3 linked regions of the Rattus norvegicus genome follow. The protein of the gene in region 2 interacts with the protein of the main gene of each other region in a pairwise test. Links are inferred from orthologs where the notes say so. Each region holds a gene or a part of one and is shown on either strand. Other genes may lie near its edges.

The links.
Region 1: the proteins of Rap1gds1 (region 2) and Plekhb1 interact in binary tests that used the Homo sapiens proteins (3 or more experiments, as listed by UniProt). The two-hybrid records come from large-scale screens. The link is inferred for Rattus norvegicus from reciprocal best matches to the Homo sapiens genes RAP1GDS1 and PLEKHB1.
Region 3: the proteins of Rap1gds1 (region 2) and Nras interact in binary tests that used the Homo sapiens proteins (3 or more experiments, as listed by UniProt). The link is inferred for Rattus norvegicus from reciprocal best matches to the Homo sapiens genes RAP1GDS1 and NRAS.

Annotation. Positions count from the first base shown.
Region 1 is NC_086019.1:164,415,092-164,418,745, reverse strand, and holds part of Plekhb1 (pleckstrin homology domain-containing family B member 1), read left to right. Parts: exon of another isoform or gene 1-1,045; coding exon of another isoform or gene 1,046-1,186; intron 1,187-1,912; coding exon 1,913-2,017; coding exon of another isoform or gene 2,018-2,284; exon of another isoform or gene 2,285-3,654. Other genes in the region: Rab6a (ras-related protein Rab-6A), read right to left, coding at 1,046-1,186.
Region 2 is NC_086020.1:230,192,957-230,196,610, reverse strand, and holds part of Rap1gds1 (rap1 GTPase-GDP dissociation stimulator 1), read left to right. Parts: intron 1-434; coding exon 435-578; intron 579-1,087; coding exon 1,088-1,219; intron 1,220-2,214; coding exon 2,215-2,349; intron 2,350-3,521; coding exon 3,522-3,647; intron 3,648-3,654. UniProt on the Homo sapiens protein: Acts as a GEF (guanine nucleotide exchange factor) for the Rho family of small GTP-binding proteins (G proteins) that stimulates the dissociation of GDP to enable subsequent binding of GTP.
Region 3 is NC_086020.1:193,276,985-193,279,707, forward strand, and holds the end of Nras (GTPase NRas), read left to right. Parts: coding exon 1-81; intron 82-887; coding exon 888-1,007; 3' UTR 1,008-1,011; intron 1,012-1,417; 3' UTR 1,418-1,459; intron 1,460-1,536; 3' UTR 1,537-2,122; downstream 2,123-2,723. UniProt on the Homo sapiens protein: Ras proteins bind GDP/GTP and possess intrinsic GTPase activity.

The sequences.
Region 1 (3,654 bases), on a different chromosome or scaffold from region 2:
CACAGTTCCAGACAGTTGTCGTTGTTGTTGTTGGGTTGTTGGTTTTGGTTTGGTTTGGTTTGTCTGAGACAGAGTTTTTCTCTGTGTAGCTCTGGCTGACCTGGTATTTGGAGATTCTCCTGCCTCTGCTTCCCAGGATTAAAGGCACCTTTACCGAGCTGCCAGACTTGTATTTTCAAAGAGCTGGTCTGCAAACCAGCGTGTGCTTATAATCCCAGCACTTGGGACGCTGAGACAGGCCTATTAAAAGTCTGGGGTCAGCCTAGGCCATAGAGCCAGACCCTGTCTCAAAAACAAACACAAAAGGCCGGTGGGCTGGTGGGTAGGGAGCAAACAGTAAGGGGTTAAGTGTGAATACCCAGGGACCATCTAGGAGGTGGGGCCAGTCTCCAGGCAACAGGATGTGGGTGTGGACTAAGCCTTGCTGACTGACAGGCTGAGGAGCACAGGCATTTAGGCTGTAAAAGTGAGAATGCTTAGAGACTGGTGGAAGTGAGGGTTTGAAGAGTTGCCTGAGGCCCAACATGGGCCCCCACCTGACAGACTCCAGACTCTAAACTGCTGCTTCCGCCTGTGGAACGGCTGAGTCCTCTCTCACCTGGAGAGAGAGTCTACTGGGAAGAAGCAGAGAAGACAGAAAACCCCCCTGGGTATATCCTCCTGCGGAGGGCCAGGCACTATGCTAAGCACATGGCATGGTTATGTCATTTCATCCTCCAAGGACTGGGGGTTGGTAGCAGTTGGTGCTATTAGTCCCACTTTACAGATGGGGAAGCTGAGGTCTAAGGACTGGAAGTGACTCCTTAGGTCTCACAATCTTAAGTTGTTGGAGGAGCCTGCAGCAGAGAGTTGGTTAGTGGACTCAGTGAGGAAGCTGGCGCTGGTAGGAGGAGCTACATGAGCAGAGGCCGGGAAGAGGGATGTGTATGTTTGCAAATGTGTTCACCTAATAGCTGGAGTCTGGCCTGGTTGGAAGGCTTACCATGGAGGAAGTGGCATTGGAGAGACGTCCTCTGAGGTCATCAGGGTCAGGTCAGGAAGGGTCTCAAAGTCCAGCTGGAGGAATAGGTTCTTTTCGGAGGCTCTCAGAGCAGTTGATTTTTCGGAGGCTATCAGAGCAGTTGAGGGCCACAGTCAGATATTGGGAGCAGCCTTGGGTTCTCAGGTGGGAGGCAATTGTAGGAAGCTAGAAGAAAGAACAAGAATCGTCAGGGAGGGAGCCAGGTCAGACTAAGCACCCTCTGAGCTCAAGTCCCCTGCATCAGTGGCACTGAGGACAGCACAAGGAAGGAGGTGAGGGCTGACCGTTCTGCACTCTGTGACTCTATGAAGCTGTCTTGCTCCCTCTCTGCCTGCTGTACTGACCTTTTACTTCTGCCTGGCCCTCCATGCTCCCTCTCTACCTGTACACCTGCCTGCCCTACTGACCCCTTACCTCTGCCTGGCCCTAGATGCTCCCTCTCTTTTGCTCCCCAGACACACATCTCTCTGGGCTCTGACTTACTAGAGCTGGTGCTTGTGTTCGCTTTTGTATTTGTTGTCTATATGTCCACAACTGTGTCTGTGGGATTTCTCTGTCCTCCAGCCTATGCAGAAGTGACCTGTACCCCGCTCTGGGGAGGCTTCTGGGGATACAGTCACAGATGAGGCTAGAGTTGTGGGGTAAAGAAACTGGGATCCCCATGTGCTGGAGACTGGGATGGGAGAGCTGGAAGGAGGCCATTGCTCCTTCACCGAGTAACAGACACTCCTTCCCCGTCTCTGACTCCCCCTCCCCCCCTCCCCACCAGCACAGGCATAGCTGTCCCAGGACTCTGCTAGGGGCCTGGTAACAACTCCTAGTCTCTTAAGGTGAAAAGGGCATCTGACATCTCCCTCCCTCTCCCTTCTTGGGTTTCTGTGGCTGGAGCAGGCCCCAGCTGGAGCCACCGTCCCACCCAGGAGCCGTCGGGTTTGCCCTAAGGTCAGGTGTACGAGCCTCTCATGGAAGCCCTGTAAGGTTGAGAGGCGGATCTGGGTAAGTGTGAGCTCAGCCCTTCCTGCCTCCTTTCTGGCCATCAGGATGAGCCTCCAAAGCCTCCTGTCCCATTCCTTCTGTGTTCGTGGACTTCAATGGCTCTCCTTTCCTCACTGGACCACAGCCCATGAAATCTGGCTAGACTTGCTTGTCACGTCACCCCTGTGCTCAATGTTCCCTCTGCTGCTGCTGCTCTGGTTCTCGCTTCATCCTGCTGATTCTCATGCAGTCTCTCCATTCACCTGGCCAGCTGATCCTCATCCCTAAAGAACTACCTCAAAGGCTGCCTGCCACCTCCTCAATGAGGACTTCCCAGGGCTTCAGGCACTGTCATCCAGGACACAGTCCTCTGCCACTGGTTTTTAGCCCTGGCTTCTTTCCTGTCTGAACTGGAACTTCCTCCAAGGCAAGGACCAGGTCTCATTTGCTCTGCCCAGTTGAAGCCCAGTATAGTAATTCGTGTACAGCATGTGTTCAATCAGTGCCCAGTGATGGGGACCGTCTGTCCTTAACCCCTTCATAAGGGACTGGCATAAGTAGGTCACTGAATGAGTAAGGAAAGAAAGGAAGGCACTTGTCTGGATCTGTCCTTGCCTGGATGTTTCTTGGAATCAAGGTGTAGTCGTTACTTTCCTTACCACTATGATCAACTAACTGACAAGAAGCAACTGAAGGAAGGAAAGACTTCTGCTGGTTCCCAGTTTGGGGGCATACTCCTCCACGGGGGCAGGCATGGTGATAATTTGAGGCTGCTTGCTCACATCTGGACAGAGGAAAGGGAATGCCAGTGTCCGGCTGCTTTTTTCATTTTCAAAATAGTCTGGAACCTCAACCCTAGGGTAGTGGTCTCCCATTCAGTGGGTCTCTCCTCTTTAGTTAAATCTCTGGAAACACAGCACAGACATCCCCAGAGGTGTGTCTCCCATGTGGCTCCAAGTCCAGTCAAGTTGACAATGAAGATCAGCCAGCACACAGGTTATGGGCCCCTACTCTTTCTCTGTCTCCAGGGCTCAGTATAGCTTGGTCTGGTATAAGTCGACATGGGAGCTTATGGTCTTAATGGTCAATTGCAAACTCTCTTCTTACTCAGTGATGCTGTGTTTTAGAACCACTTAGGGACCATACAGCAACAAATGCTGATATCCTCTGAGTGCTGGAATCTCCTAAGTCCTGGGTGGGGTCTAGGAACTATGCTATATTTATTTTTTTTTAAGATTTATTTAATATATATGAGTACACTGTAGCTGTCTTAGACACACCAGAAGAGGGTATCATCTCATTACAGATGGTTGTGAGCCACCATGTGGGTGCTGGGATTTGAACTCAGGACCTCTGGAAGAGCAGTCAGTGCTCTTAACCACTGAGCCATTTCACCAGCCCCATATGCTATATTTATATGCATATAAATATTTTTGTGGTGCTGGGGACTGAACATGGAGCCTCACACATGCTAGGCAAATACTGCTTCTAATATTGAACTCTATATATACCCCTAGCCCGGAAATCTGCATGTTCAAGACTAACTCCTGGGTTAGGGCTCTCAGTGGTGGAGTACATACTCAGCATGTGTAAGGCGCTGGGTTGATCCCCAGTACTGGGGACGGGTGAAGCTTCTGGTGATTATAGCATGCAGAACA
Region 2 (3,654 bases):
CATAGTAGACATATTTTAATTTTACATGACAAATATGTATGTGTATTATAGGCATGTGTGTATAATATACTATTGTCTTTCATCATAATATCTAAAATTATAGTGATACTGGTTGTTGTCAGACCTAAGAGAGACCCCGGATTTTTTGGGTGCTATAAGACATTTTAAGAGGATAGATAATTTCAAATAGAAAAATGAAATTTTTGTATAATTAGTCTGGACCGTCAAATACTTCACCTTGAAACTCAAGTGTTCAGAAGTGGGTTGTTGTTGTTGTTGCTATTGCTGTTGTTGTTGGCAGTGGTGTAGACGTGGGTGTTTTGTGTTTTATCTAAGTTATACATCAACTGATCTTAAAATACACTAGTTAAAATTCTTCAGGACAGGTCACTGTACCAAAGCTTGTGATTTCATTCTCATGGTTCTTTATTCAGACGCCATTAAACTGCAGCTGGTTGAAGCAGGTTTGGTCGAGTGCCTCCTAGAGATTGTTCAGCAGAAGGTGGACAGTACCAAAGAGGATGACCTTGCTGAGCTCAAAACTGCTTCAGACCTCATGGTTTTATTACTTCTTGGAGGTGAGTCTTGACTGCTGCCGACCAAAGGACATGGTCAGCAGGTATTTTAGACCTACTGTGCCTTTCGTAAACAACACTAGGCCTCTCCTTACTTTCCTGTCCTGTTTACTGTTACTGCAATGGTTTTTTTTTTCTTCTTTTCTTCTTTTTCTTTTTTCTTTTTTTTTTTTCGGAGCTGGGGACCGAACCCAGGGCCTTGTGCTTGCTAGGCAAGTGCTCTACCGCTGAGCTAAATCCCCAACCCTTACTGCAATGGTTTTGAAACCTTGTACACACCATGAAAAGTTAAGTCCCTGCTGTCTTCAGTACCTGAAGACCTGTCATGAGCACTGAAGGCAGGCTGGCCCTTGGAAACTTGGGCTACACAATTCATAAACTTCAGTGTCTAAATGCTACTAATAACCAATTACGAGATGTCTACTTTCCCCGTTGGATATCCACGTGGGAACATGGGTTTGTCACTCCTAATCATAGTTCCTTATTTAACGATTTGTTTCATTTCCCTGCAGATGAATCCATGCAGAAACTTTTTGAAGGAGGAAAAGGCAGTGTGTTCCAAAGGGTGCTCTCTTGGATTCCATCGAATAGCCAGCAGCTGCAGCTTGCTGGGGCATTGGCCATTGCAAATTTTGCCAGGAATGGTATGCACATTAGTTACTCCATGTGGATGAGACGTTCTGCATTTCTTAAGTGTCTGCTTATCTGTCACATCAACAGTGCTGCGTTCAGAAATGTCTACGTGTTGTTTCCTCAGTCCTTTAGAAGTCTTTACTGACTTACTAATATATGACATATTTTGTATAGCAATCTGAATTCTGATGTAGAAAGATCCGTGATCGTGTGGTGGTTTTGAATACTCGGTGCTTCAGGTTTAGGGACCTTGAGCATATCCATCTAGTGGGATCCTTCCCCAGTTACGTTATCTTGGCTGTAATAATCTGAGTATTCACTTTTGTGTTATTGCGTTATTTCCTTACATCTGTACTTACATATCAATAATCCTGTGGGTGTGCAGTATTTAGTTTAATAATCTTTCAAAGGCACTGGACCTTGTGAAATCTGATACTCTTGATAGCTAATCTCAGAACTCTTACTATGTCTAGAAAATATGGACTGTGTTTCTAGTTCAATTTGATTCCACTGTAAACTATTCATATATCACAGGTTGAGTGCCCCTTAGTCCAATATGCTTGAGACGTAAAGTGTTAGATTTTCTCAGGTTTCGGAATATTTATATAGGCATTAGGCAGTGTCTTGGCCAGAAGGCCAGCTCCCAAACATGAAATGTATCAGTTTCCTGTACAGTTGATGCATGTATCCTAAAATTCGTTTAGATGGTATTTTTAGTGCATCCTCACTGTGACTGGTTGACCACATAAATTCAGTTTCAGGTTCTACTCCCAGGGTCATATTTGTCATTACCCGAATATTTCAGACTTAAGGTTTTGCTTCAGGAACGTTTGACCTTACAGACGATCATGGCTGACTTACTTTGTCTTCCCTTCTCTTTAGAAGAACAATAGTTCTTTGGTAAAGGCCTGGTGTGGGTCAGTGGAGAGTGTAAAAGAGTTAGTGCCATAGGATACTTAGACACTTTTTTTTAACGAAGGAGGAAATTTGCCTTTGTTTTGCGTAGATGGGAATTGTATTCATATGGTAGACAATGGGATTGTAGAAAAACTCATGGATTTGCTGGACAGACACGTAGAAGACGGGAACGTGACGGTACAGCATGCAGCACTGAGCGCCCTCAGGAACCTAGCCATTCCAGGTAAGCAGCAGCATTTGTGTGGCTCATGGACCTCCCTGGCAGCACAAGGGGGAGAGCCTGCTGTGTGGTACCTGCCTTTAGTCCCAGCCCTTGGAAGGCAGAGTGGTTGAATGGTCAGTCTTATGTAATTAGTGAGTTCCAGGATTGCCGGGGCCACGTGGGTGTCTTAAAGGGAGAGGAGGGGCTAGGAAGAGTCTTTAAATTACTCATCTTGTTCCTGGCTAAGAAATGGAGACCATATGTTAAAATGTGTTTTCTGCGACAATACAAACCGATCTCATAAGACAGCTAGAAGAATTTATCACGTTTATGAGCGCCTCGATTTTCTTTAATGACATGCGTAAACATTCTTAGATATGTTCAGGTGAAGTCAGATATGACATATATGAACAGAGTCCACTAAAGAATCAGTATAAAGGTCGGGGGCTCTTTTTTGATTTTTTTTTTCATCCCATAAGCAGATACATAGTTTTGAAAAGGGCCTTGATGTATCTTTGGATCAACAGTTTTGAGCCATGGGGAAAACCATGCAGATGATTGCTGTTTAATTCTTTTATTCCCCTGTCGAAACTTAAACTTCTGACAAATCAGTGTAGTGACAGGAAGCCCCAATTGAAATGGTTCTGATTTGTTTGCATATCATCAGCGTCTAATAATGTCTGTCACATTTGTATTAGTACAGTTGACTCAAATACGGCAATAAAGAAAAGCACTAGAGTGAGTGCATGAGTATTTTACAAAATGTAAACATTTTCAGATTTATTTTACACATTTTCTAATTAAATGCTTTAAAATTGTGTTTAAAAAACCTAGAATGAATTATGACTGCTATGTTCCTGTAAACAGGATACTTACTTGCATATACCCAATCTCATGTTTTATTTGTGCCCCACACACACCTTGGGCAGGGGAGTTGAGACAGGCTGTATCCCAAGTTAGTCTCAAATTCAATATGTAGATTATAAGGACCTTGAATTTCTGATTCTCTTGCCTCAACATCCCACGTTCTAACTGCTGGCATAACCCAACATGCCCAACAGCCCCACCCTTAGCATTTCCAAATAGAAGTTATAAAATGGGGCCTTAACGCCAGTAAGTACCAGATGTGTGTTGAATGAATGTTCCTCGAGAGTGTTAACACCATTTTAACCATAGTCTCTTTTTCTTTCTAGTTGTAAATAAAGCAAAGATGTTATCAGCCGGGGTCACAGAGACGGTTTTGAAGTTCCTTAAATCTGAAATGCCCCCAGTTCAGTTCAAACTCCTGGGAACGCTAAGAATGTTAATAGATGCACAAGGTAAAGA
Region 3 (2,723 bases), about 37 Mb from region 2:
ACAGTTGACACAAAGCAAGCCCACGAGCTGGCCAAGAGTTATGGAATTCCATTCATTGAAACCTCAGCCAAGACCCGACAGGTATGCTAGAGACTTGAGCAAGTGTGAGTGTCTGTTTAAAGCAGAGATGTGTGACTGGTCACGTGTGGTAGAGATGTAATCTGTGTTAGTTATGATGAGTTTTGGGGGTAGTGGTTTCTGTATGGTTGGTCTTTGTTTCTTGTTGATCTTTTCCCCTCGTCCCCCAACCCTGCTCCCCTAAACAAAAGGAGCACTACCGTACTGTGGGATTTCTTTCTTTCTTTTTTTTTTTTTTAAGATTTATGTATTTATTATATGTAAGCACACTGTCGCTGTCTTCAGACACACCAGAAGAGGGCATCAGATACCATTACAGACGGTTGTGAGCCACCATGTGGTTGCTGGGAATTGAACTCAGGACCTCTGGAAGAGCAGTCAGTGCTCTCAACCTCTGAGCCATCTCTGCAGCCCTACTGTGGGATTTCTAGTTCTGCCTTAACAGGCTCAACTATTCCAAGATTAAACAAACTTGTCAAGCGTGAATCCTTTTTTCCATCAACACTTGCCACTACTGAGGAAGGAACTTTACTGGAGGGACTTCTCATAATTGGCAGTTCTGTACTCTTTCCCCACCTTGTCCTTTTCTCTTTGTTGGACTATCTTTGCTTTTTATAAAAAACATGGCAGTTATCAGCCCGTCAGTGGGGTCCTCTAGGTGTGCTGGGTTTAGTGTCTTCCTGAGTCCCCCAGTTAATGAGCTGTTGAGTAGTATCAAATCCACATAGAGAGGTGGAAATGAGAGCTTACAAGTTGGACTGTCCAGTGTTTGTTTGTTTTGTTCTTCTTTACCCTTTTTCTTTTAACAGGGTGTGGAGGATGCCTTTTACACGCTTGTAAGGGAGATACGCCAGTACCGGATGAAGAAGCTCAACAGCAGTGAGGATGGCACTCAAGGCTGTATGGGGCTGCCCTGTGTGGTGATGTAGTAAGGTGAGTGTGTGCTCCTGTCCTAACTATCTCCTGCTTAGCACTAGGCAGCTCAGAATAGTGTGAACACTACTGACTCTTGCAATTGAAGTGAGAGTTTTCATATATTTGCAACTAGAAAATAGCTTTACTGGTACGTAGCTCAGTAGCTAGGAGTACCTCCTGCTCTTTTAGAAGATGTGATTCATGTACCAGCGTCCATGTTAGGTGGCTAATTTTCCTCATTGTACCCTGTCAGGGAGTGTTAGCATCTAATTCTTTCAGCATGTCTTCTACAGACAGCTTCCTATTTTGAGTATTAGGAATTTTAGACCTGCATGTGCCATGTTTGTGGAGTGGACACATTGAAGACACCATACTAAGGATTGACACTATAGAAACTAAATGACATGGTGTTCTTTTGTTCTAGACCCTTTAAAAGTTCTGTCATCAGAAACGAGCCACTTTCAAGGTAGGACAAGTTCGAAATGTCCTGACTGACACTGAGTTTTTTGCTCTTGTTTCTCTTACCTTCTGTCTCTGTTTCAGCCTCACTGATGCCCTGGTTCTGACATCCCTGGAGGAGACGTGTTTCTGCTGCTCTCTGCATCTCAGAGAAGCTCCTGCTTCCTGCTTCCCCAACTTAGTTACTGAGCACAGCCATCTAACCTGAGACCTCTTCAGAATAACTACCTCCTCACTCGGCTGTCCGACCAGAGAAATGAACCTGTTTCTCCCCAGTAGTTCTCTGCCCTGGGTTTCCCCTAGAAACAAACACACCTGCCAGCTGGCTTTGTCCTCCGAAAAGCAGTTTACATTGATGCAGAGAACCAAACTATAGACAAGCAATTCTGTTGTCAACAGTTTCTTAAGCTCTAAGGTAACAATTGCTGGTGATTTCCCCCTTTGCCCCCAACTGTTGAACTTGGCCTTGTTAGTTTTGGGGGAAATGTCAAAAATTAATCTCTTCCCGAGAATAGAATTAGTGTTGCTGATTGCCTGATTTGCAATGTGATCAGCTATATTCTATAAGCTGGCGTCTGCTCTGTATTCATAAATGCAAACATGAGTACTGACGTAAGTGCATCCCTAGTCTTCTCAGCTGCATGCAATTAAATCCAACGTTCACAACAAAGTGCCTTGTCCTAACAGTGCTCTGTAGGCTTCCGTTATAGTTCGTATTGAAATAGATGTTTCAAGAACCATTGTATAGGAAAGTGACTATGAGCCATCTACCTTGGAGGGAAAGGTGAATCTACCTGATGGCAGATGCTTTATATATGTACACATATGTACACAAAGACAGTTTCCCTGTTTGCGGTTCTCCCAGGAGAAAGAGGGAACTGAAACGATTATGACTAATTTCATTTAATTCTAGCTAATCTTTTTTTTTTTTTTTTGGAGGGGGGGAGTAGGTTACCACCTATAAATATTTGTAATTTCTTCTAGCTTACTGATAATCTAATAGTCAATGAGCTTCCATTATAATAAATTGGTTCATACCAGGAAGCCCTCCATTTATAGTTAGTCAGATACTGTAAAAATTGGCATGTTATTACTTTATACCTGTGATTAATGATTCTTCAAACCTTAAATATAGTTATTAGCAGGCAGGTTATATCTTTGCTGCATAGTTTCTTCATGGAAAAAAAAAATATATATATATATGGAGAGAGTGGCCCTCAGTTCCCATCTCACCATCCCTCTCTTTCAGCCTAGATCAGTTCAAGCATCCT